4 linked regions of the Struthio camelus genome follow. The protein of the gene in region 4 purifies or fractionates together with the protein of the main gene of each other region. This does not show direct contact. Links are inferred from orthologs where the notes say so. Each region holds a gene or a part of one and is shown on either strand. Other genes may lie near its edges.

What was found.
Region 1: the proteins of DNAJC7 (region 4) and VPS13C purify together in Homo sapiens (co-immunoprecipitation; 4 studies listed by BioGRID and IntAct, counting the BioPlex papers as one, with this or other methods). This does not show direct contact. The link is inferred for Struthio camelus from reciprocal best matches to the Homo sapiens genes DNAJC7 and VPS13C.
Region 2: the proteins of DNAJC7 (region 4) and MLF2 purify together in Homo sapiens (affinity purification with mass spectrometry; 3 studies listed by BioGRID and IntAct, with this or other methods). This does not show direct contact. The link is inferred for Struthio camelus from reciprocal best matches to the Homo sapiens genes DNAJC7 and MLF2.
Region 3: the proteins of DNAJC7 (region 4) and IFT122 purify together in Homo sapiens (co-immunoprecipitation; 3 studies listed by BioGRID and IntAct, counting the BioPlex papers as one, with this or other methods). This does not show direct contact. The link is inferred for Struthio camelus from reciprocal best matches to the Homo sapiens genes DNAJC7 and IFT122.

What each region holds. Positions count from the first base shown.
Region 1 is NC_090953.1:20,608,641-20,616,269, reverse strand, and holds the start of VPS13C (intermembrane lipid transfer protein VPS13C), read left to right. Parts: upstream 1-4,618; 5' UTR 4,619-4,686; coding exon 4,687-4,786; intron 4,787-4,821; exon of another isoform or gene 4,822-4,944; intron 4,945-6,065; coding exon 6,066-6,109; intron 6,110-7,629. UniProt on the Homo sapiens protein: Mediates the transfer of lipids between membranes at organelle contact sites. Necessary for proper mitochondrial function and maintenance of mitochondrial transmembrane potential.
Region 2 is NC_090942.1:90,710,619-90,718,094, forward strand, and holds the start of MLF2 (myeloid leukemia factor 2), read left to right. Parts: upstream 1-4,467; 5' UTR 4,468-4,827; intron 4,828-5,805; exon of another isoform or gene 5,806-5,945; intron 5,946-6,163; coding exon of another isoform or gene 6,164-6,211; exon of another isoform or gene 6,212-6,779; intron 6,780-7,476. Other genes in the region: PTMS (parathymosin), read right to left, coding at 2,184-2,234, 2,840-2,904, 3,060-3,141, 3,929-4,000, 6,164-6,211.
Region 3 is NC_090955.1:806,635-813,874, reverse strand, and holds the start of IFT122 (intraflagellar transport protein 122 homolog), read left to right. Parts: upstream 1-4,227; 5' UTR 4,228-4,236; coding exon 4,237-4,388; intron 4,389-4,606; coding exon 4,607-4,673; intron 4,674-5,608; coding exon 5,609-5,693; intron 5,694-6,540; coding exon 6,541-6,619; intron 6,620-7,240. Other genes in the region: MBD4 (methyl-CpG-binding domain protein 4), read right to left, coding at 188-291, 947-1,096, 1,343-1,477, 2,133-2,207, 2,844-3,715, 3,833-4,002. UniProt on the Homo sapiens protein: As a component of the IFT complex A (IFT-A), a complex required for retrograde ciliary transport and entry into cilia of G protein-coupled receptors (GPCRs), it is required in ciliogenesis and ciliary protein trafficking.
Region 4 is NC_090966.1:7,448,748-7,456,397, reverse strand, and holds the start of DNAJC7 (dnaJ homolog subfamily C member 7), read left to right. Parts: upstream 1-4,640; 5' UTR 4,641-4,714; coding exon 4,715-4,797; intron 4,798-7,650. Other genes in the region: NKIRAS2 (NF-kappa-B inhibitor-interacting Ras-like protein 2), read right to left, coding at 1,822-2,061, 2,702-2,943, 3,212-3,305. UniProt on the Homo sapiens protein: Acts as a co-chaperone regulating the molecular chaperones HSP70 and HSP90 in folding of steroid receptors, such as the glucocorticoid receptor and the progesterone receptor.

The sequences.
Region 1 (7,629 bases), on a different chromosome or scaffold from region 4:
ATTATTATTTATGCATGAAAGATTGTGTAACAGGCGACACCAAACAAAAATTTGTTGTTACAATGCATATTTCTATTCATAAAATGGAAACTTTAAACTGATACTTACAATGCAGATTTCCATTTTTTTTATGCTTCATTTTTGTAAAAGTTTACCTAGAGATTTGAACAAATCTTGCCATATAAATAGCACCACCACAAAGTTAAGTGTTACAGTGTTGTATTTATATTTACTGTTTAGGAAATTATCATGCAGGAATGGAATCATCAAATCTTTATATTTGATAAAGTGCTACAATAATATAGAATGAGCCTCTAGACATCAACCAGAACATGCTGTTTTGATGACTTTCAGCTGAGTGAAACTACTGTTTCCATTCATATGTATGAAACCAGTCATGTCTATTCAACGACAGTGTTTAGAAAAAATGGACAGCACGCATGGGTTTTCCTCTGAGGTGAATGAACATTGTCTGTGTATTCAATGAATGGTAAGCAAACATCCACATTTCTGTTTGTCCTGTATGTATTCTTCTGGATACAGAACTCATATGTCATGTAACAGTATATGGTTTTTTTTTCTTTTTGGATTGTTTACCCTTTCCATTGAGAACACACAAGGAGTGGTACCTACCAGCAGACAGGAGGTGCATTAATGCTATTTTTGAGAGGGACCCTATCTGCTCAGGAAGACTACCAAAGGATTGTTTGGTAGTAAATGTGCAAAAATATGTAACTTTACTTACAAGCAATATCTCAGTACTTACAAGTAACTGCACCTATGGTGGACAAAATATCTATTAAAACTCCTTTCTTCATAATTTCTCCGTCCTTAATTCCATTCAATTTTCCTTCGTTTTTAAAAATCTGTTCAGGTTTTACTAAAACAACGTATTTTGACACAGACTTGGCTTGCTGGTGTTCTTTTCCAGATGAAATCACTTTACTTTGGGAGCAATTTTATGATCCACTATGTGATATATTTCTATTTGTTGGGAAAGCATGTCTGTAAAGAGTAGCAGAAATTGAATTTACTCAAATTTATTCTATAACCAGGTGATTTTCAAAAATCATGGAGTTCTTTAAATATTTTATGTAGGTAAACATTTTGGTTAGTAGGAAATTATTTAACCATACATAACCACATACGTTTTCTGATACATTCTGTTGTTGTGATAAACTGGTCTTTGTTATTTGCTGTGCAGAAGTCCTTATGACTTCTGAAAAGTGAAGGAGAAATGGATATGTCGTGGTGGCTAGGTTGTGTAATTGTTACAGAGGACATTCCACACCATCGATGTGCATTATTGCTCTTATATTTACATACGCTGAGAACATGAGCTGCCACTGATTAGCTAATACTTTTGCTCAAACCTCAGTTATTCAGCTACAGTCTGTATATTCAAAAGCATAGTAAGTTAAGTTCTTTTAAAGCTTTACTCAAAAAACCACAAGTGAAAGTTTGTTACCTAACAGAACGGCATCAGAAAGCTCTATTTACAGTTCCCCGTCTTGCTTTCTTGCACTGCTGCTTCCATATGATATGACAGGATTTGAACAGCCAACACTGCACAAAAGAAGTAAAAAAATAAAAGAAATATAAATTAGAAAGCCATCATTATCTCAGACTGCAGTGCTAATATGACAAGGCAGTTGGAAATCAGATGAGCAATGAACTTGCAGTTGTCATGCTAAGAACACAGGAGCCATCCACATGGACTCTAAAGGCCTTCAACAATTAGCTTAGCGATTATTGTGTTTGCAAGAGTTTATATTTGTTAGTTTTGCTCCAGTCTGTTAAGATTATCATTCCTACTCAAAGTATTTGGCACTTCCTATAGTCTCCCTTCTTCCTAGCAGTTTGTCTCCCTGTCTGAAGCCAAATATATTATAAAATAAGATTTCAGTACTTTTAGCTAAAACTCCCCCCTCTATTTCAAACACTACCTTATGCAGAAAATTAATTACGTAACAAGGAACTTTTAAGGCCCTATGGAAGATAAATTGTATCAACATATTATTTATGGTTAAAAAAAGCTGAGATGTGAATTTGGCACAGGAAAGGCAGGAAATAATAGCACAAAAGCACATGTTCAATAAAATTAATGCCCTGTTGTTCAGCCTTAGTGGTATCACAGGAAACACTTCTGCAGGAGTCAGTGCAAGCTCTTCTGCTAATTGAAAGAAATGAATCTTACAACCTAAGTGTCTACGTGTGACAGTGACATTGCTGGTAAGTCACTACCTAGAATATACGTTGAAGACAATCTGTAGAGCTTTAGCTGCAGAGACACAAAAACATACGGCTCCTCAGGGGCAGGCAGTTCCTTGTGCAAGAAGAAAAATAAAGAGCTTTGTGCTGATGACGTTGTTTTTGTTGTTTTTCAGCTCTTCGTTCTGACTTGAAAGCTTAGTAACTCTTCATAATGGCCAGTCTCTTCCTGTTGCATCATTCCCATTTACTGGGACAAAAGACTGCTCAATTGGCAATAATCACCAACAATTAAGACTTTTTTTAGTAACCAACTGGTATTACCCAGTGGTGCGCTGAATTCTGCAGTCACACAGAAGCTGTATGGGTTGGTAGCTGGTATTCGCAGTTCCAGTGTACCCCATCCGTTCCCAACTTAACGAGCTGTTAGAGAGGTTTTTGTTGATGCTGGGTTTTTTGTATAGCTTTATTTAAAATCCTTTAAAGCACGCCTCATTCTCTGATAGTCTTCAATTATTTCAATACCATCCACTAGGGAAAAATCTATCATTGCAACTGTGTTAGATATCACAACGTATTGAGGCTATAGGTTCAGGGACAGATTTTTGGTCCTTTAAATCAGAAGGAACAAAAATGGCACTAACTCCACATAAAGCCAATTTATCCACATTTGTGCACAGAACAGGCTGGCAAAAGGGCTAGCATGCAACATGTGCAGTAGTGAGTACGAGTAAAGCATTTGACAGCACTTGTGCAAGAACTGCCATAGACTGAGAGAGGGAAAAGGCTTCCAGCTCTGCACTGACCCTTTAAATTTTAGAGATCCGGCAGCAGGTGCCCACAGGAGGCTGTGGGAAGCGGACGCTTTCCACTAATGACCCTTGCCAGTATTTGCATGCTTCTCCAGCATTCAGCGAAAGGACTTTCCTGGCCAAAGCTGTATCTAGACCATCCTGTTTATCAGCCATGGTAGGCCTGAACTTTGGTCTTAGTGATGTAAGGGTCTGTCTTATGCATTGAATCTTTGATGCTGAAAAACACTTGCAGAAAAGGCAGGCATAGATATGTAGACTAATGTGGTACTGCTGTGGCATTTTTCTATTAGAACATGAAACAAGCTGCTAAAAAACGGAGTCTTGTGTTGCTTGGGTGTTCTGGACACTTTATGCTTTGTCATATATTTAACAAACTGAAAAATGTGTTTGATCAATCAGCATGTGGATGAGGGTGGTCTTGGGTATGTGTCTAACGCACAAGTAAATTTATGGGACACCCAAGCAGAGCTCTTTGGATTTGCCTCAACTACAGCAAGAGGGAGCTTGCCAGTATGAAACGGAGGATGTAACGCAACCAGAGGGGTGACAGCCACTAACGGACCTTTCCTTTAGGCATTTACTGAAATCTTTTCCATGACTAGCTGTGGTTTCATAACATCTCCTAGCACTAAGCTCCACGATTTAACTGTATGTTGTTTAAAGCATATTTCTCTGACACTGTTAAGAGTCTTCTGATCGTGTTCATGTGGTCTTGATGTATTTTTATATATTCTGGAGGCCGGCATCCTATTGCTAATACTAATTTGCCTTTTTTTTGGAACACATTTTTAGAGTGAATGTGTTATTTTGAGCTTTAAAGCACTGTTCTTCCATGAGTTCAAAATGACTTTATGTGAACAGCCCCCCTGAAACTTGAAACCCATTGCAGCATCAGCATTAATACCCGCAGATTCATCGAACAGAGCAGCACGCCATCATCCATTTTCTCTGCAGTGCTATTAACTCCCTAGAGTTGTCTTCTTGTGCCCGTCCGTTTCCTCTCTGAGTTTCCATGTTACTTGAATGACTGCGTTAACAGAAGTTATAGTTGTCATACTAGCTGTAAGAACTAGCCAGGTTCAAATTAATTCCAACCAAAAAGGGAAGCTAATAGATGTTCATCCTAGAGGCGGTAATAAGAACATATATATTTTCTAAATAAACTGGTGAATATGAAAGAGGACACTACCTGCTTAAAGCTTCAAAGTTGTCTCTACAAGCCCTTAGGCTTTATCTCTAATGCCAACGCGGCTTTGGACAGGCATCACCTGACTGACCGGTATCGGGTCGTGGGGCCTTTCACTGTCAGTGTCCCGTAAGCCTCCAGTTAAAAATAAATACATTTTCCGAGGGGCTGGTGAGAAGCGGAGATGCGGGCTCCAGCAGGAGGCACGGTTTCCTCGGTTTTGCCGGGGCTGGCGATCGCCGCCCTCGCTAGGAACAAGATGGCGGGCGGCGGGCGCCACCCCCGCGCCACACGGCCAACGGTCGCCGGGCCGCGGCGCGCTCCCGCCGCGGCGCGGGGGGGCGGGGCCGCCGGGGCGCGGCACCCGCGGGGCGGCAGCGCGCCCCGCCCCCCGTCACCTGACTGCCGGGGCCGGGGCCGGGGACGCGCCCGCCGCCGCCGCCGCCCCCGCGCGCCTGCCCCACCGCCTCCGCCATGGTGCTGGAGTCGGTGGTGGCGGATCTGCTGAACCGCTTCCTGGGCGACTATGTGGAGAACCTCAACAAGTCCCAGCTCAAGCTGGGCATATGGGGGGGTAAGGAGCCCCCCACCCCCCCCTCCCCCGCCTGCCTGTGCTGAGGGCCGGCGAGGCGAGGCCGCTGCCACCGGCTGGGCGGCTGCTGGCGCCGCGGCGGGGAGCGGGTCTCGTCGGCGGCGGGTCCGCGGAGGGGGCTGCTCCCGCCCCCGAGGGGCGGCGGGCCGTCGGGGCTGCGCTCCTCCCGCCGCCGCCGGCGAGGGGCGAGCGGGTGAGGGGCGGGCGGCGGGGCGGGGCGCGGCCCCCCGCGGGGGGCGGGCGGCCGTTGCGCCGCCTCGAGGCCGGGGGCCGCCCCTGGGGGAGCCGGGCGCCGGCGGCTGCGGGGCGGCCGGGCCTTGGCGACCCTTGGGGGAATTTTGCTCCTTCTTCCCCAAAATGAGGGGCGGGGCGGAGGGGCGCCAGGCGCAGGTGACTTCCCCGAAGTCGTGTGTGGTTAACGGAGCGGCTCTCCTGCAGTAGCGTGGCATGGCTCTTCCCAGTCAACGCGTTCAACGTTTAAGTTTGTTGCTCTTCAGGCAAGCGAGAAATAGCTGAATCGCTGTCTAGGGAAATCTGGCTGTCTTAGATACATGAGCGATGAGATTTTCCTCATCTTCCTGATGTTGCCATGGTAGTAAAAATTCATGTTTTTAACATTTACAAGTTATTCAAAATACCAGTATTATGAGCAGAACATATCACTAAGGAGTCTTGTGTTAAAGCACCCGGAGGTATAGTTGGTGTGCGTTCTTCATCACGTATAATTCCCTGTGCCCACGTTCCCTTTGGAATTCTTGTTACGTTGCCTATTTCAGGAAAAGTTGCTGCGTTTAGGAAAACAACCATGCAAGTGCCTTACATCTTTGTGGTTTTATGGTTCATGCTGTTCTTCCCGCTATGTAAAATCAACACAAGTGAGAGATAGCACCATCCTAGTCTACACTACCTTGAGAGAACCGCGATTATCATTCATAACACAAAGTGAATAATGAGGATGATAGTAAGAAAGGTATTATTAGGCATAGTTCATGATGTAGAAACATGCAGAAGTATAAATTAGTGATATTTCCATAATCTCTCCCACTGTTGGATTTTGCCTCAATAATGAGTGTTAGTGATTCATAAATTAGCTATTTATTATGTTACTCTTTAACATTTTATGCTATCCAGTAACTGGACATTTGATTTTTGATTCTACCCTTGTGTTCTTGGGATGGTTGTATCTGCGTTCCTTTCTCCAACTTGCGTGATACTATAGTTTAAATCACTTAATCTGTACTTCTGTTTTTCTTCCATATAGGTAATGTGGCACTGGACAATTTACAGATAAAGGAGAATGCATTAGTAAGTATTTTACAATTTTTAAATTTTTTTTTTTTTGGATCCAAGGACTAAGTCATAAGGTAAAATACTATTTACTGTAGGTCCTTGCTACACAGTGTGCCTTGCTTACAAGAACTAGTAAAAAAGTCCTTAGTTAACTTCCTCTGATTTTATTCAGGACATTGGAATAGAGGAAGAAAAAAAAGCTGTGGGTTAAATCATAAATGTGCTTCTGTCTTAAATATGTGACTTAAAAATTAGCCATAGATTTTGAAGTAAATTTTCAGTTGTTACTGATGTGCGCACGCGTACGTAGCCTGTCCTAGTATTTGAGGCTTGAAATAATAAAACTTTAAGTAAGATATTTTGATATCTCTCTGTTACCATGCCAGTCTTTCTGTAACACGTAGAGGGTTTAATTTCTGCTGTGACTGCTACTGTATTATCATATTTCCATTACCACTTGCAGGTCCATGCAGAAGACGCTTGTGTGTCTTTGAACACCTTATTAGGTCATATGGTTGTGCATAAGCCTACATGTTCTTTGCAACTTTGTTTGAATAAATGGGTTTCTGAGGCCTGCCTCCCTCCTGCAAATGGATTGATATAACTAAAGGTTTTTGAAAGACTGCTTTTCTCAGGTGCTGATGTGGGCATTAAAGGAGAAAAGGTTCCTCCTTCGAGGCTGGTTGAGGCTTATGTTTCTGACTTCCTGCATAAGTTGATGATTGTTTAAAACTGGCAAAGAAAACATTTGTAAGAAAGATGTGTACTCTGTGAACATTCAATGCGCCATCCTGTTCCTTTTAGAATAGGAGTGATGGAATGGGGGAAGGACAAGAAGCAGCCTGCATTAAGTACACAAATTCTTATCTGACAAAGTATTTGTTGATTTTTTTCTTTTTTATATTCTTTAATGGAGTTAATGAATGGCTGTACTGCTGAGACAATCTTACTGCAATCTTTACTGTGCTTCTGCTTTCACTAAAGAGATTTTGCACTTTCTCGTGAATAGAAAATATGTTGGATTTTTGCTTGACCTAATAATTGATTTTCTTCGTTGTTCTGGTTCACTTGTTTCACCCATCATTGATAACTTTGTTCTGCTTCGTTCTGTTTCACAACTCTGTACAAATACCTTTGTAATCTGGTAGTTATAAAAGGAAGGAAGAAGGAAAGTGGTATCTACTTTGTCTAGCTATCTATCCTTCTTGTTGTGAGAGCAGGATTGATTATAATTCTGCCAGTTCTGACTTCACTTATTTCAAGTACTGACTTATGCGACTAGCTTTTCAACTCTGGAACTGTAAATAAGGAGAGTTTTCAACTGCTTTATACCTGTGTGGTGGCTTTCAAAGCAAAAGTAAATAAAGGAAGGTTGACGTTGAATATTTTTCAAATGTAAAAAAAGCAAAGCCCTTAAGAAAAGGAAGAGAGGAATAAATGGCAGTTGCTTTTAGAATTGTATTTTGCTGCGTCCATTTTTCCCTTTAGAAGTAGTAAAAGACCATTTCATTAAAATGGAAATCTGTCAAATCTCT
Region 2 (7,476 bases), on a different chromosome or scaffold from region 4:
GTGGAAGCAGGACAGGGCCACCGTGAACATGGCCTCCAGCTGACACTGGGCAACAGTGAGAGGCTGTGACAGCTTCACTGCAAAGGCCCAAGTGCAGCACCCAACGACGCATGGTTCCAGCTGGAGACAAGGATCTCCCAGAACTGGAGGGGCCTGTCTGAGCCAGACCCAGCCTTGCCTGGAGGAGAAGGGCCCAAATCTGCTCCAGGCTGTGGAGCTGCGAAGAAGTGAAGGGGCTGGGACAGGAACACCAGGACTGCAGCGACCTCTGGGCTGAAACAGGCCCAGTCCCAGTAGAGACTCCACCAGCAAATGTGTGCCGAGGCAGTAGCGCACCCACACCGCACAGTGCAGAGAGAACCCACCAGGCAGGCGTGCATACCCCAGAGGTGTTTGTAGGTGAGAAGCGGCTTCGCACTAGCCGTGCCATTTCCATCAAGCTTGTGTCCCTCCGCTTCCTGGAGTCAGCCATGAAGCAGGGCAGAGAACGCCTTGGTCAGATGTGGTCATTTGGAGAAAAATAAACAATTGACACTTGCCATTTATGGAAGCTAGCAACTGTTTGTGCTTCAAGTATCTGATCTGTTGCTGTAGTTGGACAGACACCAAGCCGCTGATGCTCGGACAAAAGACCTGATTTACAGCTCCCAGTCTTGGTAGCTCAATTACTTGATTTTCAGAATAAAGTTAAAAAAGGAAGAGAAAACAGTAGCTCCTTCAAAGGTCTCCGAGGATAAAAGACAAATGTTTCATCTCTCCCAGGCAGCTGATGGGACAAAGAACTGAAGCTCTTGCTTCTTAAAACACCTTCCTGTTGTTCTGCATGACTGATACTACATGGGTCATGGTTGATGAGAGTGAGAGCAGGAAGACTGTAGAATAGCATAAAGTTAAGAGCAGTACTTGCTTATGCCCACCAGCCACAGATGAGGTTCCCTTTCTGAACCTCTACCATCTGGTGCAGAGGTCTGGTTTTGAGAGCTTCACGATAAGCCTGGAGTTTTATCTCATGTTTGTGGCATGTCCTCATTGTAAATGCTTGCCAGATGGAGCAATGCACAGAGGGAGGGAAGAGAACCCACGCACACTGTTCTCCGGTATGCAGGGGCAATTCAAACAATTAGCACAGGTCTTTTGACTAAACTTAGGTTCCTCTTTTCACGAGCTGCTGGTCAGGCCAACATATATGCTATTGTTCTTCTGCAAATTGACTTCTCATCAGATCAAAACAAAACCTAAGACTTATAGACACACCTTTCTACACGAGCTGTTTGAAATATTTTTAAATGCTTTTATTTACAGTGCTAGTTGAAAACAATATATATATTTATATCTATCATCCTCGTGATGTTTGTGCCATAGAAAATGCTGTGGCTGTATTGCCTTTAATTTACAAAAAAATGGTCACAAGAGAATCTGAAGGGAAAAATGGAAATCAAAGTTTGGTCCTCAATTAATTGTTTATCTCTTGATTTGTTTTAAAAAAGCCTCCAAATTAAAAAAAATATGCAGTTCAGATGAAATTCATATATAAAAACAACCTTTATCTTCTGAAAAAATTCACGAGGGCCAGCTTGCTGTCTGTCATGTAAACTTAAAAAAAAAAAAGGTTAAAATAAATTCTGTCTCTGTGTGTGGTTTAATAGAAACATTATTTGCTTGTAATATTCTTTCTCTTTGTCTCTCAGGGTTCAACGGGAAAGAAGATGAAAGGAGACCTAGGACTGGAAAATGCACCATGAGATCTGTGCCCACAGCCTCCTGGATCCAGGGAGGATATTTGAGACAGCAGGTCTTAGAAGCAGAAGCCGGTCATGTTAGTGAAAAGAGAGGACAAGTGAAACAGAATGAGAGGTGTTTGCCATGTGAAGAGTTTGGCATACGGGCCTGGTAAGGTTACTTACTGGGAGACAGGAAAAGATGAGATTCTTGAAGGGAAAGGATCATTTTTAAGTGGGGTACAGTTGAAAGGATGTGAGGGACTGGAGTAATTTCAGCTGGGGAATGTCATAGATGGGCTAGATCTTCAGGTGGGAAGGAAACTGCTGTCTTCCCTGTCCGAGAGCATTTCTAATCTTTCCTCATCTGAGACTGTGTGAAGCCAGAGGCTAATGGACAGTGCAAGCATGGGCTGGAATGGAGGAGGAGAGATGGACGGAACAGAAGAGATGGGAGGGGAGGACTCAAGCTGAAGATCCATTTTCTGTCTTCTGTCTCTTTGGATCCACTTCATCCTATTTAGGAGAAAGAGAAGGAAAAAAAGGTGTTACCATCAAACAGTCACCACACCAAGGCACATAATTTCTCCATGAGATTCTTACTGCTGCTCTTTCCTCCGTATGGAAATATTCGTTTGGCCTACCCTAAATCCACTCTTCTTTACAGCACCTTTGACTGCCTGACACTCAGCTGTTCTGCTGATGCTAATGGTTAAGACGTGCACAGCTCCATTTGTAGGGATACCTGCTGTGTTAGTTTCAGCAGATATATAAGCCCAGACTCACACCACCTCAGACAGACCCTGGGATCAACCCTTAAAAGTCCATCTGGCATCCAGCTTCTGGCATGAAGCACAGAAATCACTGCTCTTTGAAGGATCATCATCCAGCACAATCTAAAGCACCTTGACTGCTGGGGGGAAGAACCTGGATCAGTTCCACAAAGGGTCTGTGAGGTTCTGTTTTCCCCCTGCCACATCAGGTTTGTTGACCCAGTGAAGCAGCAATGAGACCTGAGGCTGATTTGAGATGCTCAGCAATAGCATCCACATGGATTTCATCAGCTCACAGCAGGTAGCCTAGTTCCTTCTCAGTGTCATTACTCCCAGACTATCACACACCTCTTCTTCCTCTGCGGATCGTTTTTCTGCATGTCCATCCTGCTCTTGCCCATTCTCATCTCCATCTAAGCACAAACAAGGGGAAATCACAAGTTAACTGAGGTAGCTTTTAGGCGAATCTAATCTCAGTCAGAAGGCTTGGAGAGGGAATTCGCCTCTATGATATTTCATATTCCCATAACCTGATTCCTCCCATTTCCCCCAAGCTGATCATTCCCACCTTCATCCTCATCACCACCTTCATCTTCATCCACATCCTCAGGATTCTCTTCCTCATCCTCTTCAGCTCCATTTTCCTCATCCTGAGTAAAACAAATTGGCCAGAGCAAAAATTGGCATCAGGCTAATATTCCCATGCTGTCTTTGCTGCAAGCACAAGTATAATCCCCACAGCTCCCGCTATGTCAGACTCCAGTGTTGGATGCGCATCAAGTAAGTGATCCCTGCACTGTTATTCAGACCCTGTCACTTCCACTATCCCAGCTGTCTCACACAGCTGAAACCCTCCTCCCAGCCTCCATCCCTTACAAAACCAACCCCTCCAATCCTTTCCCACCAGCCCTAGCTTCCTTGACTTCCACAAGTTTAAATCCCAACAAGCTGCTGAAATCCCTTCCCAACAATCAGAACATCTCTCTGGTTACCCATGTGTAACGCACCTGCTTCCAGATTCCTTCTGACCTTCAACAATCTGCATCTCCTCACTGTTACTCTCTCCATCTCCCTCAGCTTGTGCTCCTTACGCACCTCAGAGTGCTCTGAGTAGGTGTAAGACTCTGTTCCCAATGCCACCTCCCCCTAACTCCTACCAGCCCTTGTCTTCATTCTCCTCTCTGATCTTTCTTCCACTGGGCCACAGCGGCTACGCTGCCTGAATCCTTCAAGGCTCATCTTCCACATTTATCCCACAGCTCATTCTTCATTTGAGCCTTCTCCCTTATGAGCTCCACTGGCCTGCCCTCTCTTTTTGATTGATCCCCATTATTCCCTTCCTACTTACAACCTGAAGTTCCCAGACTAACCACCTTATAAAATCCTCCCAGACTCCTCTAAAGATATGCCCAACAGAAGGGCTACATGGGGCCTCACCTCTACTATCTCCTTCTTCTTTTCTTTGTGGACTGTTTTCTCCTCTAGTTTTTCCTTCTTTTCTTTCATTTCCTATACGCAAGATGAGAAAAATCATTCCAGTGGTCAGTGGCAGGAAATAAAAAAAGACTGGAATGCTCAGTTTTAAACAGGGGCCGTTTAGAAAGGAGATACAAAATAACGATGAGTAGAGAAAATGTAAATTAGGCATTAAATCTCCCCTCCCGGATCAGCAGAAGAGCAGACAGCGACATAGAAAAGCTGCAAATACACGCCAGTATTCGCATTTTATTCGGGAAAAAACCCGAGAAACTCTTAAGTTACACTAAAACAGGGAAGTTTTCCCCTCAAACGCAGGCTCTGGTGTGAGGCCGGAGGTGCCGAGCGCGCGGCGGAGGAACGAGCCGGCCCTCCTTCCAGCCCTACCCCCGCCGCCCGCTAGGGGCTCCCCAACGGCCGCTGCCCGCCGCGAGCCCAACGGCCGCCCGGCCCCGGCCCCGTCCCCGCCCCGCGCCCCGCCCCCGGCCGCAGCCCGCGGCCGCCCGGCGCCGGGGCTGCGCCGCAGCCCACCGGCCTGCCGCCTGGCCGCAAGGTGTTTTGGAGGGCTTACAGTGTCCTTTCTCCCCGCAGTCAGGGTGGCATAAAAGTTCGCTGCATTGGCTGCCGCACAACGGACGCGCACTCCGCCCCTCCGAATCGCACCTGGAGCTGCCGGTGTCCAGTGCGTGCAGTTAGGGGCCTCCGAGCCTTCTGGCACAGTAACTGCCCAGCCTCCGAAACCCTCAAGAGTTTGCAGTGGTTTCTAAGCTCTGCCGAAAGAGGTCAAGTTCTGGGGACACACTCAGAGGGTCCTAGTCTCCCAGCCTCATCGAAGCTCGGACTGCCAGAGCTGTCTATCGGTAGGTACGCGAAGGGCATGGCAGGCTGACCGGGCTGGGAGGGAAGAGGATAGAGACTGGACTGAAGGGCTCCCAAGCCATCCCTCCCACTCCAGGCGCTTGGCACCCCTCAGCTGGGACACTGAATGGGATGCCGAGGAGCCCTGCGGCAATGACCAAAGAAAGAAATCTCGCCTTAACTAGCACAGAAGCCCGAGGGGGTCTCCACAGCTCCCGTTTCTGCAGCGCAAAAAGCGTTTCTGGAGAAGACGAGGCAGAGGATCAGCCGTTGCCCTGACATTTATCCTATGCTCCTGTTGCCGCCAGGGATTTGAGAAGAATACTCTGTTATTCGGGCTGCTAAGTAGTAAAAAACCGCAAAGCCACATGGCACATGTTATTTAGGATCTTTGTCATTCATCCTTCCCACTCCTTTTCGGGAGGTGAGCGTCTGCCTAAGCTCGCAATGAGTGCAAGGAACTACAGCCAGTCTTTGATCCTTGCAACAGCGCAGCAGCTGGGCTTCCGGTGGCTTTTTAGTCTTCTACGATTTAGGGCTTTTCTTTGTCCAAATGCAGTAACAACGCAGGTCTGTCCGACGATCGTAAGTCACCGCCGTCTCATTTGTTCCCTGCATTCTCCCGGCCCAGCCCTGCCCCCACGCCTCCTGTCCGCGCTCTTCCCCGCTCAATTTCTCCGCTCAACTCCATTAACCTCTCCTAGTGGGTCTGCCAGAACCGCCGCGCGGGACGCAAAGACGCCTCCGAGGGGGGCAACTCCTAGCCCTGACGAGCGCCCCGGCGTCGCTGACGCCAGCGCGACGCGCGGGGGGCAGAGGGAGGGTCCGCCCGGCTGCTCTTTCGCCTACATTTGGGACCGCTCGCCTATGACTTCCCCCCCCCGCCCCCCCCCCCCCGCGACGCGGCCCGCAGGCGGCCGCCGAGCAGAGCGGAGCGGAACCGCGCCGCCCCCACGCCACGCACGGCCCCGCGCGCGGGCACTCGCGCCCCGCGCAGAGCCGCGCGCGCTCCCTGCTGGCCGGGCATCTCCGAGCGCGCGGGGCCGCGCGCCGCCTCCCTCCCCCCCGCCCCGCGGCGGCGGCGAGCGGGCGCGGAGCAGCCCGGTGAGCGGTCAGCGAGGTGAGGAGGGCAGGAAAAGGGCAGCGCCTTGGAGCCTGGCGGGGGCAGAGCGGCGGGCAGCGGGCGCGGAGGCGGCGAGGGGACCGTGTGCCGCAGATAAGTCGGGAGGATCGCGGTGCTCTGCCCGTCCCGGTGCCTGCGCGCGGGGCGCTTCCCGCGTCGGCGAGCGGGACGGGGGGAGGCGAGCGGGCTGGCGGGAGGGATGCCGAGGGTCTCACCTTGGCGCTCAGCTCCGCCGGCGCCTCCTCTACGCGTTTTTCCGACATCCTGGTACGGGAGCGAGAGGCGAAGGGAAGAGGCCAGTCGGAAACGTCCAGAGACCCCTGTGGAGAGTGAGCGGGGCCGAGAGCGAGGGGTCCAGGAGGGAGCGCAAAGTCCCGGCGATCCAAAGGCCAGAGGCTGCACCTCCCGCCCAGGGGGCCAAAGTACCAGGGTCTCCCGTGATGGGGGATACGCCGGAGAAGGGGATTTATACACCACTCGGTGACGAGGGAAGGAGGGACTTGGGGAAGGGAGGGGAGAGGGACTGGGAGGGAGGAGAGAGGGAGGAGAGAAGGGCTGCTGGAAAGAGCGGAATGCCGAGAACAATGTGCGCTCGGCGCTTGGCAAGCGCCCGGCAGCGGGCGGCAGCAGCGCGGTGGTCGGGGGCGGAGAGGGGCTTCAGACGGGAGCCGCTGCCCCGGGCAGCTCGCCTCTCTGCCCTCCCCCTTGCCCGGCGGAGCGGGGACGGCTCGGCAGCGTCCCGCGGGCGGTGGCGCGGGCCGGCTGCCGCACGAGCACCGAGGAGCCGCCGAAGAAGCAGCGGGGACCGAGCCGACGCCCGTCGGTGCGGGCACTGCGCGGCGGCCGCCCGGCCCGTGGAGGCCGCACGCCGGGTAGGGGCGTGAAGCGTGGGTGTCCTGCCCTCGTTTGGCCTCCGAACCGTTGACTCCCGCCCCCACCGCTCAGCACAGGGCTCCGGGCAGCCCTTTGCTGCTCATAGCCAGCACGAGCGGTGGCCGGGCCCTGCCGCTGGGAAAACTGAGCCCTCTGCCTTGGACCCGGTGTCTCTGCGGCACGGTGCGGGGTTGCCGTCGCACGGCTTAGCCGTGTCTCCGGCTAACGGAGGAGACGGGGCCCCCCAAGCGGCTCCCTGCGTGCTCATCCCCTACACGGCGGCCCACCGGCCGCCTCTGCGGGGTGGAGGAGGGCGAGGAGGAAGGGGGGCGCCCTGCCTCGAAACGCCTGCCAGTCCCGGCCTCGCCGGGGGTGGGGGGGGGGGGAAATTCCCGCCTCCTTCTGGCCGGACCTCGCCCGCGAGGAACCGGAGGGGGCCAGCGGGCGGCGGCCAGCCCGGGCCGTGCCCAGCAGGAGGTGCTGCGGCGCGGCGCGGGCCGGGCGGCGGCGTGTCGCAGCGGGGCTGTGTGGGAGGGCAGAGCTGGCGACGGTCTCGCTCATGCTTCCTCCCGCCTGGAATTTTCCACTCCAGCTGCCTGCCCTCCCTCTGGAATCGCTCCCAGCCGGCGGCTCCTCCCGCCGCCCCAACGGCCCT
Region 3 (7,240 bases), on a different chromosome or scaffold from region 4:
AGGATGAGACTCTTAAAAGGTACATTCTGTAAATTCAATTAATTGAAGATGAAAATTTGCTATAATTTTATTTAATTCACGTGATTACTGATTACATCTGTAAAAGTCCAATGAAGCCGAAGGACAGACTGCCTCTGCTTTGAGCATGTTTTGCATCAAGCCCTTCAAGAATGACAGCATCACATACCTCTTTCCATTCATTGACACAGAAGATTCTGTAAGAGTCGTTTCCGTATTTTCCAATCCCGTGCAGTTCAATGGGGTACCTCCACTGCTTGGTCAGATACTCATCTAGAACATATAGTCACATACTTCACTACGTACAGACAAGCGGATCACAGAAAGCAAGTCTAGGCAAAATCCTGATTCTCTGTTATGGTCCCAAACCTGTTTTAGAACATTTTAAATGAAAAACACTACAAGTTTTAGCTGTTTCCTAGCCAAAGTAGGTGAAGAGTCCCCTTGGGTCCATCACAAAACATCTTTCAAACAAATCACTGTGGGTGAATTTTAAATAAATCTCTCCCCTCGGAATCCACAGAGGAATGCTTTTATTTTAAGTATGAAGTACAGAAAGTATATAGAAAAATTTAGGCAGGAATGGTCTTCTGGAGGTCATCTGATATGAACCAAAGCAGAGCCATCTTATCATAGTGTTGGAAAACACAAAACCAGTCTTGGAGATACCCGTTAACTTTTTCCACTCAAACAATTCTCCTCAACGAAGGTCTCTTGCAGAACTCATTATGTATGTTATTTTATTCTCAGTTAAGGCAATAGGACGGGCAGCTTTACACAGACAAGACCAACGTATCCCAAAGCTGCATAAAATAAGACAACACCAATATTTGCCAAACTGAAGGCCACAGAGCACTGTTTGAAAACAATGCTGTTTCTTTGCTAATATAATTTAGACCATTCAACAACCATACTCAGGAAAATCTACCTGAAAACTTGATTATAGTTTTTGCTCTGAGTTCATAGAGGCCGAGAGGTCTGAGCAACTCTGACATTTCTTTCCAGTCTGCAGTTCTCGTTATTTCAGGAGAAGGATATTTCTTAAGGAACTCCCAGAGCACAGGAATTGCCGCCTTACCTAGCCAAAGAAATCACTGTGAACAGAAGACTGTGCAGGTAATTCTCTTTTGTGGTTATCTGTGCATGTTTTTAGAAGTGAACTTTTGCTGACTTAGGATTTACTTTTTGGGTTTTTTTACATTAACACAAGCTGAAATGCATTTCATCTTTCATTAATGCCATAAAAAATTTGGCAGCTGTTCTGACCCTATGACAACAGCACCCCAAACACTTACCCAACACAAAATCGTATTACTCTGTTTACCTGAGGTCTTATTGAGAAATATAGTTGCAATGAGGAGTTTCCATGGATCATGGAAAAGAGTTTCTTGGACCAAGTTAAAAGGAGAACGTGGAGGAGTCCATTTTCTGAAGGCCTTCCTTCTAGGTGGGCTCGGAGCTGTACACAAAGGCAATATGGGAAAAGTTATTGGGCAGTAAAGGACGGATTAATCTATTTAAGAAAATAATTAGAAAAAGAAAGAACTTTTGGAGCAGATTCATCTTTGTGGGAGCACTGTATGTGGATGGAGCACTAGCAATTCACTCGCTCTCCTTTACAACACTGCAAGGACTGTGTGTCCATGGCATAGTCTACAGTAAGAGCGAAGGCTGCCTGTATCTGTGGCTCTGTGTTTCAAGGGTACACATCCTTTCGGAGAAGAAGGGCCCTTCACAGCTAACTTCACCTTCTTCTGTAAGTACAGAGCTGTAGCCACAGAGTACAGGGTTTCCCCTTGACAGGAAAAACACCTCTGTGGTCTACAAAGAACCTTCCCAAAGCCCACTCAGTCCATCCTCTTATAGTTACTGAAAGAGCTACTGAGTCATTTTATATTAGGCATAATGGTTGTTTGCAAGATACAAACCACCAAGGTTTAAAATGGGACAAGATCAGCACTTGTGCACTAAGCCTAGCTCTCCAATGCCACAGAGCATGGCTATACTTTAACTAGTCTAAAACTGCACGAAATTTTCTGTAACATTACTTGATCTTAAGCCACCGTATTCCTCCCTGCATAAAACAGAATTTCTTTCCCTAAGGAATATTATACCTTCTTTACAGCATTTACTTGAAAAATACGGACTTGTTTTCCTCTTTTCCACCTGTGTTCGTGGAATAGATTCTTCTGTAAAGAAATAATACTTTAGCGTTATTTCTGTCACAATTAGAAAGAAAAAAAAACATAAAATATTTGGCTTTTAGGTTTCATATGCTATTTTCTCTTTATGTTGTGATGGGAATACAAGGCTTTCGAGTAGGTGTGTAGAATGTAAATGCACTTTGGATTCAGCCCAGTCCTTCAGTATTTCAGCTCTATGAAGTATCTTCTTAAGAGAAACCATTACTTTGCAACAGCCTGAGGAAACATGTTCAGCTACAGTCAAAGATTAAATGTTCTCCACAACCTACTGTCATATGAAACAAACTAAAACTAAGTTGTTTCATGTATCAAAAACTGACCAGTACAGCAGCATTAAAAGAGCAAATGCAAGGAAGGTAATGATCATTATTATATTATATCATAAAGCTGAAGAGACCAACAGCGTAAGTTCCAGTTGTGAATAAATCTACATTAAGTTAAATGCTGCAGGATAAAGAAATGAGAGATTCCCACAGGAGCACATACAGATCTCTTCATCTGGATGGATGAAGTATGTCCAAGCACAAAGCAGCTCCATCTGAAACAGAATACTTTTCTGCTAAAGTTCAGGAATACCGCTAGCAAAATGTTAGAATACTCTACTCAAAAACATATATGTACCTTGCAGCATTTTAACTTCTGTGAGGATTTTCTTGTCACAAGGCTGCAAAATGTTAACATCCGTTTCAGTGTTGGATTCAAAATCCTGGTTATCTAGATTCACTTGATCTGTCTCTTTCCCTATTTCCAGTTCATCAGTCTTCTCCTCAGACTTTGCAGAAGATGCTTCATTAAAACTTTTCTCTATGCACTCCAGCTCAGCTAGGCTCTTCAACTCCTTTTCCAAGGGAGCTGTGACTGATCCTAGCTGTATGTCTGACTGTGATCCAGAAATCAGTAATTCCTCTGTTAAAAGAGTTTTTCTTTTTCCTGCATCCACAGGGTCTGTGTTGTGGTCATCTCTCCCTTGACTGTTAGGGACACCTATGTCCTTCTTTCTGCAGAATTTCTTGTTCTGAATGCACTCAGTTTCTTGTTTGTTACATACTTTTCTCTGTCTTTTGGTTCGGGTATTATCTGCATTCTTCTTTTCTGAGCTCTTTCTAGTTTTCTTACTCTGAACACTTTTTCCAACTGCCCCCTTTTTTTTGGTTTTCAAACAGTCCTCTGGTTTTACTTCTTTCACGACCAAATCCTTACTACTGCAAGTGGTTGTAGCAGCAACATCTCCCAGCCGTTCATTTCCAGTTTGAACCTTATGAATTTTATCTTCTTCACCATTCTGTACACTAAGGTCCTGTGCTTGACTCTGACGATCCTCCTCCTGTAAACCAGCTCCCACAGCTTTTGAGCTGCATCTTTTGGCCCCTGAACGGGTGCTGCTCCGAGATGGCGCAGTAAAATCAAAATCTTCTGCTTTTAGAGTTGTCTCTCCAGTTTTACGAAAATAATTCACAAGCGCACCTTTTGATCTTAGCTTATGTCCTTCGGGACTGCAGTATTAAAGAAAAGTAAATGATGAGAGATGGCTTTTTCAGCCTCTTGCTCTTCGCTTCAACAACTACCTTGTTATAAAAACGAACCACCACCACCACCACCGCCCGCCCTACCTGACAAAACACACGTCGTACTTCCCCGCTGTTCTTCCCGACCGCCGCTGCGTCACCAGCCTCTCCCACCCGCGCGGCGCCCCGCCGCCGCCGCCGCCCGCGGCCCCGCTCGGGGGGCTCCGCTGGCGGCCGGGGCCGGGGCCGGGGCCGGGGCCCGCCGCCGCCGCCATCGCCGCCCCCTCCGCCTTCCCGCCGGCACCCGCGTGACGTCACCGCCTGGTGACATCACCAGCCCCGGCGACGTCCCGCCCGCCACCGGAGCCGGGGGAGGAGCTCGGGGAGCCCGCCCGCTGCCATGGCAACGCGCCCGCCGCCCGCTCCCCCCTTCCGGTGCCGCCATGACGCAGGCGCCTCCGGCCACGTGACGGCCCTCAGCCTCCCCCCCCCACACACACACGGCGCGCATGCGGCCACGCCCCCCGTGGGCGCCTGCGCAGTGCCGCCTCATCGCCCAGCGGCGCCCTGCGCATGCGCGTTGCCAGGGGCGCCCGCCGGTGGCGGTGCAAACGGGCGCCATGCGGGCCGCGCTCACCTGGCGCGACAAGGCCGAGCAGTGGTAAGAGCCCCGGCCCGTGCGGGGGCCGCCGCCGCCGGTTGTGTGCCCTCGGGCCTCTGCTCGGCAGTCCGGTGTACCCCGGAGCTGGCGGGGGGGGAGGGGGTTGTTGTGCGAAGTCTTTAAAGTTCCGTTGAAAATCGATGGAAGGGTGTTTTGGCTCTTCAGGTATTTAAAGGTCTGTCAGCTCACGTGGGTGGATTTGCTTTGTTTTTCTTTAGTATTTATGATCTTGCGTTCAAGCCGGACGGGACCCAGTTGATAATTGCTGCTGGCAACAGGCTGCTGGTAGGACACCTCTCTTTCCTCTTGCGGTTGCAGCCACGGGGCTGTGATTTTGACTTACGAATGTATGAACCTGCCAAAAATCCTCTAACTCCTCCTGCGCCAGCCCAACGTATGCATGTTTTCATATGCTCTAGCTGTAAAGTATTTCAAAGCTATTTGATGTTTCTTACCGTTTTTTTAGCTTCATTTCCAGAGGTAATGAGCTTTACGCTGCTTGTGTCATCTTGTCCTTCCTTACCTCGCCCAGAGGTTTTGAACGCGTTGACTCTTAGCTAAACTTCCCACAGTCGCCAAGGTATACAAATACTATGGTGTTGCCAGTTTCATGGAAATCCCTCTGAAAAGAGGAAAGAAGCCCCACTTAACGTCCCTGCTTTGAGAGAAGATTCAACTAGAGCTTTACCCAGCACCCCGTGCCTGCTTGCCTGCTGCTAACCCAGCTTGGGACCAAGGTTCTCGTATGGTGTCTTGCAAAGCTCTCACGTGGGGGTGGATGGATGTCACGCTTCCAGAGGTGTAATTTAGAGTCGCAGGAGCAGGCTTTATTAGTTTCACTGTTCACAGAAGAGTGTATGTAATGATAGTCCTTTCCAGTAATTTGTTAAGTTTAAAAATAATTCTCAAATAGGGAAAGAATTGGATGATGTAAAGCAAGCAGGTCAAACATGATGTCTCTTGTACGTGTAATTGACTAGTGCTCAGTATTCGTTCCTTCGGAGTGTTGAAGGAGAAGCATTACTTCAAGGAAGGGTCCTCTTACATTTTAAAATGTCTTCTCTTGCCCTGTCCTAACTAACTAATGACATGGATTGCATGCATAAAAGCAAGCACAAAAAAAGTGCATAATCTTGTTGGGTTTTTTTGGTAACTTTAGGCCCTTGTCCTGTGCAACTCATTGGAAGGCTGAGGTTTTATGTTCATTTTTGTTTTTATAGGTATATGATACTTCCGATGGGACCTTAATCCAGCCTTTGAAAGGACATAAGGACACTGTATACTGTGTGGCTTATGCTAAAGATGGTAAATATCAGTTCTGAGGTTTTGTTATTCTACTTTGTAGAGCACGATCTCTTCCCTTTGTTGTTGAAAATTGATAAGTAAAGTAATCAAGGTGGTTTCAGTGATCATGTTTTGAACATGTATGATCTTTTTATTATTGGGATTTTGAAATGCATTACAAATGCTACACTCAGAAGGAAGTACTACGTTTTCACGTCTATAATTTAAGGTTACCTGTTATGTTAATCCAAGAACTGTAGTCCCTACTTCCCTTCCCCTTCTACTTCAGCTGTAGTTAAATTGATACTTGTGGGGGTAGCATGAGGAGAAGGCTTACCCCAGAAGGCCCTCTTTCTAGCAGTCTTCCTGCCTCTGATTTTTTTTCACAAGTTCCTCTCTCCCAGAGCTTCTCAATTGTCTGATCCTTCATATGTTGCTGCGCTCACTACAGAGCTCACTTTGCTTCTAAATCTTTCGTTGTCTCTGACTCTCATTCTGTGCAGACTGTAAGGACTTCCTGTCAAATACTGTGCTTTCAAAAGGTGCTAACGTATTTACGTTATACTTGTGAAAATGCACCATTTTCCTCTTGGGACTGGTAAGGTAAGTCTTCAGCCTGTGACTGACAGCACTGGGCAGACTGGCTACTTGCATTGCCAGGTTTGGCGATGAGCTCTCTGAGGGAATAACAAAGTAAGGCCGTTCACACAGACTGAGAAGCACAGCCACGTGACGACACTTGCAATGTTAGGCCCTTTATTACTTGAGCCTTGTGAAGTTCAAGAACTTCTTGCTCTCTCTTTGGTTGGATATTTGAAATGAAAGTGATTCCTAAATGTGTGAGATTTAAATTATGTTTAATTCCTAGGCAAACGGTTTGCATCTGGTTCAGCGGATAAAAGTGTGATAATTTGGACTTCAAAGTTAGAAGGAATTCTGAAATACACGTAAGTGATTCCTTTCGATTCCGTGCCTGTCAAGTACAGACTTTGGCCATGAATGTCCGCTGTCAAGGAGTAAGCGATGTTAGAAGTGGAAGAAGATTAACTAGGGTTGGAGAAAAGGCTAGTAGGGAATAAGGAGAGGGAAGAGAAGAAGAGCAAAGTATCTGAAAAGTAGGGAAAGTAATTAAAGGCATGAAAGAGCACGGGAAGTCTAGATAAAGGTATGATGAATTTAGAGGGCTGGCAGAGAAGTGGGGAATGTCTGTATAGATTGAGAGGGAATGAAACAGTATGATTCTGATCTTGTGTAGTAAACCACATTAGTTTGGTCTTTGAACTACAATTATATTAAAGATGAGGACTGGAGCTTTCCCCTTGGCTTTGTTTTATATGTCGTCTCTCAAGCTATGTCATCAAAATCTGTTTCTGGCTATGTGTACAATTATTGCTGAAGTTAGGAGTATACACAATCATACTTATTTTAGAATTTGGCTATAAGCTGTAATCACATTTCACAACACTTCACAAACCACTGTCTACCTATATTTTTAGCTAATCTTGATGAAACACAGCAAATCCTCCATTTAAAGACCTTTTTAAAAATTTTATTATTGATTTAGTTTA
Region 4 (7,650 bases):
GAGGCCCCCGGGTCGCGGGGGGGGGAAACGCGGCTCCGACAGTGTCTTAATGCCAAGCAGCCCGTGGGTCACCCCAGCTCCAGCCCTCGCGCTGCTCCTGGCAGCCTCGTCCCCTACTCTTCTCACCGTACCCTCCCCGGTCAGCCTCTCGGCCTGGTCCCACCGCAGAAGGGCGGCACGTCCCCTCCTGCATGCACACGCCAGCCTCAGGAGCGCCGGGAACCGGGGAGCAGCCGGCTGTGGCCATACTCCAGCCTGCAAGAGCCGGCAGGCCCTGGTGGGGAGTTCCCTTGCATTCTGTTCTAAAAAGCCTGTGCTGGAGCCAGCAGTGGCTGCTCCCACCACCTCCCCCCCCCCCCCCCAACCAGTGGAGTCCTAATACACTCCTACACTTGGCACTTTAACCCCTTGAAAGCCATTCCTTCGAATAACAATAATACTGCAACGAGCTGTGTAAGAACACAGTCCCTGTCGCCTCCCCCTCTGCCGCCAGAGACCCTCCCTGCTCCTGTGCTATCCAAAGCATTTACTGCCTTTGACTTAGCATATGCTGTACTAGGTAGTAGGGCATAGTCCATAGTGCTCAATAACGTGTGCCCCTCTGTACATAACCTCGGAGTGATGTGAACAGTTTGATTCCAAAAAAAAAAAAAATCCACCAACCCACAAAAATGAAATAAACAGACTCTAGGGACTTGGCCAGTACCCCTCCTGTAATGTTCATTGTATATTTTTTGATGTACTATAACTGTTGGGGAAAAAAAAGGAAAATATTTTGATAATCAAATCTCATCGCTTTATTGTGTTACTCAGTAAATAAAAGGAACAAGTATAAACAAGCCAGGGCTTTCTCGTCATCTTTGCCTAGATCCAGACTAGCCAAAAGGAACGTGTGCGGGAAACCGTTCCCCTTGTCTTGTGGTTCTGAGAGGAGAGCCAGCACCGTGACAGACGCGTGGTTTGAGCTCCCACAGCCCTAAGCGTCGGATTGTTGTGGGCTAAGCACAGTTCCAGTGTCTCCCAGGCTAGGACCGAGGCTGCACTTAGCAAGAGCGGAGCTGCAGCGTGGTGGATGTAGGCACCATGAGTTGTGGGGCCTGACCCTGCCCTCAGCGACAGCACCTCGCCCTGCTCTGCGCCATGCAGGTGGGGCAGGACGTACATCTTGCAGACGACTTGACCAAGGCCTGAACGCTTCCGTACATAAAGGAGCAGAGGACGCTGCTGGGAAGGGGTAATATACTGGGCCAAAGCTACAGCGCCGCAGAGCCAGCCGGGGTAGTACGAGGGGGCGCTGCTCTGAGAGCAGCCACACCACACGGGATGCGCGGCCAGCAGAGAGACTCTTCTCACACGGTACCAGCATGATACAAAAACAGAGCAGCTCGCCAGCCAGGGAACTAGTTTCCTCTGGCCTGGCAGCGCTCAGCCGTGGAGCTGATCCCAACGTGACAGCTAGCCCCATGCTGTGCCTCCCTCGAGCAGCATGCATCCCCCAGGTCTGCCAGCCTGCGCCTGGGCAGGAGACGAGGCCTGCGAGGAGAGGAGCGTCACTCGGTGGTGAATCCTGGCTTCCCTGCAGTACCTCAAACGTCTGCAGGAGGGGGGCAGTGATAAGAGCAGTCCCTGTCCCAGCCCAGGCAGATGGGTCACCTCTCTCATCCTCAAAGACTGTCCCCAGCCCTGGGAAGCCCGTTCCTCCTGCCACCATGCTTCCCGCTGGCTCCGTGATGCCAAACAGGCTCAGCAGGAGGTGAATGCAGGGAAAAGAGGGAGGTGAGGGAGAGGAGGTGGCAATGAAGAGGAAGGGAAGGACAAGGCTCAGCCATCCATGGAGCCACTGCCCTTGTTCTTGCGACTCAGGGGAAAGGCAGACTTGCTTTGTGGCTGCGTCATCTTACTGGCCAGGTAGATGAACGGCTCAATCAGCGTGCGCCGGTCAGCCACGGACACCTCCCACAGCTTCACCTTCTCGCCCTTGGCCCAGTGCTGGGCGGCGTCGTGGTCCACTCGACGCTGCTCCTGCAGGTCACACTTGTTACCCAAAACCACAATGGTGACCTGTTCAAAAAATAAAGGTGAGAAGAATCCCTGAAGGTAACAAACAGTCGACCGGTACTGCCTGGCTCCGCCTTGATACCCTCAGTGCCAGGCCCAGGCCTGCTGCTAAATTCCCCTCTATGCTAAGGCCTTTAAAAAGACATGTTTCCAAGTGCTCCTTTCCGGCAGCTTCCCCATCATGTTCAGGCTGTGTATCTCAGACCAGCCCCAAAGCGGAAGGGCCTGTTGAGCTCGTGCATGCTCAGCACGCTGGTGGCCTGCAGAAGAGTCCAGTCCAGAAGGGCAGGAAGAAGAGAGCTCTCAAGTCAACAGCCCTGGAAACTGAAGGCCCCGTGTGAAATAACCAAAGCAGCAGACACGCAAGCCCTGTCCCCCTTCGCAAGAGAGGTGTGAACCTTCTTCCATGCAGAGCCTTTCTGCTCGATGGCTGTGGAATGATCATTGTGACAGAGCAAATACTCTCCCCGAAAGCATCCCAGGATGGTACCAATTACAGTTGAGGGTCTTACGGAACAGGACCTTGTCACCATCCTGTGACAAGCCAGAGGTGAGGAGAGAGTCTCTGGAAGAGAACTGGTGAACAAGGGGAGCAGACCCTGCTCTGCAGCCCCATTCCCTTGGGGAGATCGTGGTTACTCACCTCTTTCTTGTCTTTGGACTTGTCAATCTCCTTCTTGAGGAGCTCCACCCGCTTGAAGGATTCCTTGCTGTCGGTGCTATAGACGAGCACGTAGCCATCAGTGCAGGAGAAGCAATGCTTGGGAAGCTCCAGGCCGTCCCGCAGGCCCCGCGTGTCGTAAAAGCGCACCTGCTCGCGCACCCCGCGGTCTGTCTCGATGGAGCCCACGTAAATGTCCTCCTGGGTCTCGATCATCTCAGAACCTGCAAGCGAGGTGGGCTGGGGTGAGACAGGGAAGGCAGCCACGGCGCCGTCCCCACCGCTGTCCTGCTGGGCGGCCACCTCTCCTCCTCCCCTGCTGCCTGCATGTTTGGGGGGGGGGGTTTCTGGCCCGACGGTGCCAGGCCCTGCCCGCCCCCGCGCAGGCGCAGCGCAGGGCTGTCTCACAGCCGTCTCCTCCGCGTGGGCTTCGCAGAGCAACCGGGAACGCCGGCAGGCCCCTTCCAGGCTCCCCCACCAGCCTGTACGCACCGACAACATGGTTGCCGTAGAGCAGCTGCTCCAGGATAGACGTCTTCCCGACGGAGGCCTGTCCGCACACAACCACCTTGCAGCTCTTCCCCATGCCGGCTCAGGGCGCCCTGCAGAGGGCCAGGGCTGGCGGGACCCCCCCCTGCCGAAACACGGCGGTCAGAGGGGCACGGCGGGGGCGCACAGCCCCGCACGGGGCACGAAGAGGGCGTGTGGCCCCGTGGGGGGGCACCCGGCCCCGTGGGGGGGATGGAGAGGGCACCCGGCCCCAGCGGGGGGCACGTGGCTGCGGCAGGGGACACGGAGGGGGCACACGGCCCTGTGGGGGGAAAAGGGGGACACACGGTCCCGTGGGGGGCATAGAGCGGGTACACAGCCCCAATTGGGGGGGGGCATAGAGGGGACACATGGCCCTACCGGGGGGGACACAGAGGGGGCACCCAGCCCCACTGGGGGGGGCATGGGGGGGCATCTGGCATCTGGCCCCACCGGGGGGGCACACGGCTCCGTGGGGGGCACGGGAGGGGCACGTGACCCCACTGGGGGGGCAGAGAGGGGGCACCCGGCTCCACCGGGGGGGCACGGCAGGGACACATGGCCCTGGGGGGGGCAAGGGGGGGCATCCAGCCCCACTGGGGGGACACATGGCCACGGCGGGGGACACAGAAGGGGCACACGGCCCTGTGGGGGGGGGTGGAGAGGGCACCCGGCCCCACGGGGGGGCACGGCGGGGATACACAGCCCCAACGGGGGGGCACGAAGGGGGTACTCGGTCCCGTGGGGGGGGGGACACGGAGGGGGCACACAGCTCCGTGGGGGGGGGATGGAGAGGGAACCCAACCCACGGGGGGGCACGAAGGGGACACACAGCCCCGTGGGGGGCACAGAGGGGGGCACCCGGCCCCACGCGGGGGCACGGCGGGGACACATAGCCCCGTGGGGGGCACCCGGCCCCACGGAGGGAGGGGGGGGACGAGGACACGAGGACCCACGGGGGCACGCGCGGGCCCCTACGGGGCGTTTCCGCCCCCCCCGAGAGGGGATGCCGGGCCCGGGGTGGGGACACGGCCGAGCCCGCGGCCAGCCGGGGGGAGCCGGCGGAGGCGCCGCGCCGGGCAGCACCGGGCGGCGGCGGCAGCACCGGCGGGGCCTCACCTGCGCGGCGGCGGCGGCGGCGGAAGGGGCGCGGCGGACCCGGCGCGGCCGCGGCGCCCTCTGGAGGCCGCGGCGGCGGCTGCGCCCCCCCCCCGGGCCGGGCCATGAGCCGCCCCGCTGCCCGCGGCTGACCCGGCCGGGCCCCGCGCCGCCCCCCCCGCCCCGCCGCCGCCCCGCCGCCGCGGCGGGAGGACCCCAGGGCGGCGCTGCCCCGACCCGGCCCGGGCCGCGAGCGGCGCCCCTCTTGTGTCGCCGTCGTTGTCAGCGGAAGCCCCCGCCCCTTCCGGCTCCGCGCCCGCCTCCCGCCCGCTCCCCCCGCCCGCCCCCCGCGCCCGGCCTGGCGGTAAGATGGCGGCGGCGGCCGAGTGCGATGTGATCATGGCGGCGCCCGAGGGGCCCGGCGCGTTGGAGAGCGACGAGGAGGCGCGCAGGTAGCACCGCTCCCGGCGCCGCGCGGGCAGGCCGCGGGCCGTCGTCCTTCCCGCCGGGGCGGCGACCGGGCCCCGCTCCCGGGGCCGGGGGGTCGCCGGCTGGGGGAGGCGGCCGCGGGCCCGGCGGGGGGAGCCGGGAGGCAGCTCGGCAGGGTCGGGCCGGGGGTCTGGGGTCGGGGGCAGCTCTGCGAGAGGGAGGGTGGCGCTGGGGGCCCTCGGGGCCGCCCGGGGGGCTGCGGGGGGGCCTCGGGGCCGCCCGGCGGGCTTGGGGGGCTGGGGAGGGGCCGCCCGGCCGCCTTGGGGGGCTGGGGGGGGCCTCGGGGCCGCCCGGCCGCCTTGGGGTAGGGTATTGGGGGATCTTGGGGGTAGCGCTGCAAGATTTAGGGTCTGGGGGAGCCTTGGGGCAGCGTAGCAAGATTTGGGGCAGGATCTGAGGAAGCCTTGGGGCCGCCCGGCCGGTTTGGGGTCAGGGTATGGGGCAGCCCTACAGGGGGGCAGGGGGGAGCCGTGGGGCAGCCCTGTCGGAGAGAAGACAAGGTATGGGAGAGCCTGGCTGGGGCTGGGGGCCTGGGGCAGCCCCGGGGGCGGTAGGACGGGGGCCGGCTGCGCGCCCCTGTGGGGAGCGGGGTGGCAGGACGGAGAGGCTGGGGACCTCGGCGGGAGGGAGCTGCGGGGCCTTCGGCGGCGCTCCCGTCACTGGGAGCCTGCTGGGGGCTGGACTGGGCCTGGGAGGTCTCTGCCGGCTCCGGGAGCGCTGCCGGTGCCAGGCATATCGCTGTGGGCGTAACTGGTGCTCTGCAGTGGGCAGCACCCACCGGGCAAGAGCAGGGTGGGATTCGGTGTGCGCTTGGGTGCTAAGGAGCTCACGGCATGAGAGGTGTTAAGCAGAGCAGTGATGTTTCACTGGAGAGGGGTTTGCTACAGCTCGGAGCAGATCGTAAGGGCAAAGGGCGCAGCGGCACCTTTAGCCATGAATCTCTTGGTTCCACAGAGCTGGCTGCTCAGACCCAGGGCTCTGCAGGGATGGTCTGTAGTCCAGCCCAGGGCCATGATATAGCACATACGGTGAAGGGCTGTGCTTCCTGCAGGTGGTGTTTCAGTTCAGGATGCTTTGGCTGCGCATCTCACGCTAATCCTTATGGCCTCTATAGGGTATATACCAGGTTTAGAGTAAGGATTTTTCTCTGTCTGTGTGTTGTGGAGTAGACTGTCTTCAGTCGATCAGATTTTGAATGTCCCTGAAATACATACGCTATTTTTACTGTCTGGAAGCCATGCTGGCTGGTTTCTGAAGAAAGCTCTCTCCTATCGTGGAGGATTAGGAGGCAAGGATTAAACTGGTGGGGAAGGGCAGTTCTTCGTAGCTTCAAACTCCCAGGTTTGAGTGTTCTTCATTTCTCCTATATCTGTTTTCTGAGCAGTATATCATGCCAAATTGCCTCATCTGTGACGGGCTGTTACGACTGAAAATCTTTTAATGACATTTGGAGCAAGTTTTACTCTGCCTTGCCTTTCTGGGGAAAAATGTCAGTGGCAGGCCTATATCGGGGTAGGGTCATATTCTGAAAATGGTGATGTAGTTAAAAGAGCTCCTCCAAGCAGCTATTAAAGTTCCTCTAACTGGTTAATTTCTGAAGTGATCTGGTACAACTTGCTGGGGGAATAGACAGTGATTTGGGGGCTGGGAAGGGTGAGGATTCCAACTCTTCTTCTAGCTACAGATTTTCTTTTCAAGAGCAAGTGATCCTGTTCCCACGTGCAGCTGAGTGTTGCAGCCTCTGCAGGGAATGAAATGGGGAAGTCCAGTGTCTAGGAAACTCTGCTCATTCTGCAGCATTTAAAACTGGCAGTTTGCTGTCTCCTGGGGAATTGGGAGGAGAGAACTATTTCTGTAAAAGGCATGGCAATTGCTCCAGAGAATTATTCGGTTGATAGAAATATAAGGAGAAGACAGAACTGAAAGTGTCCTCTGAGGAATGCTATTTTCAAAGTAATATTGGTGGCCTGAGGTGTTTTGTGCTGCTTATTTATGTTAGAGTTAGAAGGCTTAGGGAGCAGAACTGGAAATATGCTGACTTCCTGGTGAAGTCATACTAAAGAGTTAGTTAAATTAGATGCTTCTGAAGAAGCGCTTGGATGCTGTGCGTAGACTACCGACAAATTGCATGGCCTATAAAGTTGGGAAAGCCCTGTTTGTGTGTAAATCATTTCTTCCTCCAGGCTATTTAAGTGGGGTGTTTGAAGTGTTAAAAAGTATCCAAGTGTAAAAATCATGCTAAAGGCACCGTCATCTTATTATAGTGCCCTCTAACATTAGCATTCTGTCCTCCTTCCCAAGTTTCATTGCAGAAGTGATGAGCACTGGAAGTCAGTCACAAATAGGACGGTCTTCAGAGGAAAGGTTGAACAGGTGCAGACACAGAAGAATTCTTGGGCAGGATTTGGTCCTTGCCCTGCTCTGAGGGGAAGCCTCAACTATGAAGACCAGAGACAGCCTAGATGATCTTGGTTTTCTTGATGTGATAAGGCCAGTACCACAGTTCATGGTTGTTAACTTTCAGTCCCTCCATTCTTTTGTAGATGCTTTCACAGTATTTATTTTCTGTTGTTGAGATACTCACTTTTTTATCTCATTAGAAGAGAAGTGTTTGTGTCATCTGATGGAGACTTATTCCAGGTAGGAAGTGATTATTTTACTTGCAGTTATTCTCTTTTTGGTTGCTTAGAAAGCATAGACCTTAAACACCAGTGCCTGTCAGCCAGAGCAGATTTTCTTGAGGTCAGGAACATCTTGTGCTTTTCTCTGTTTTGGCCCATCTTGGCTAAAGTAAATTGCTTAACTTCTGTGGCTCC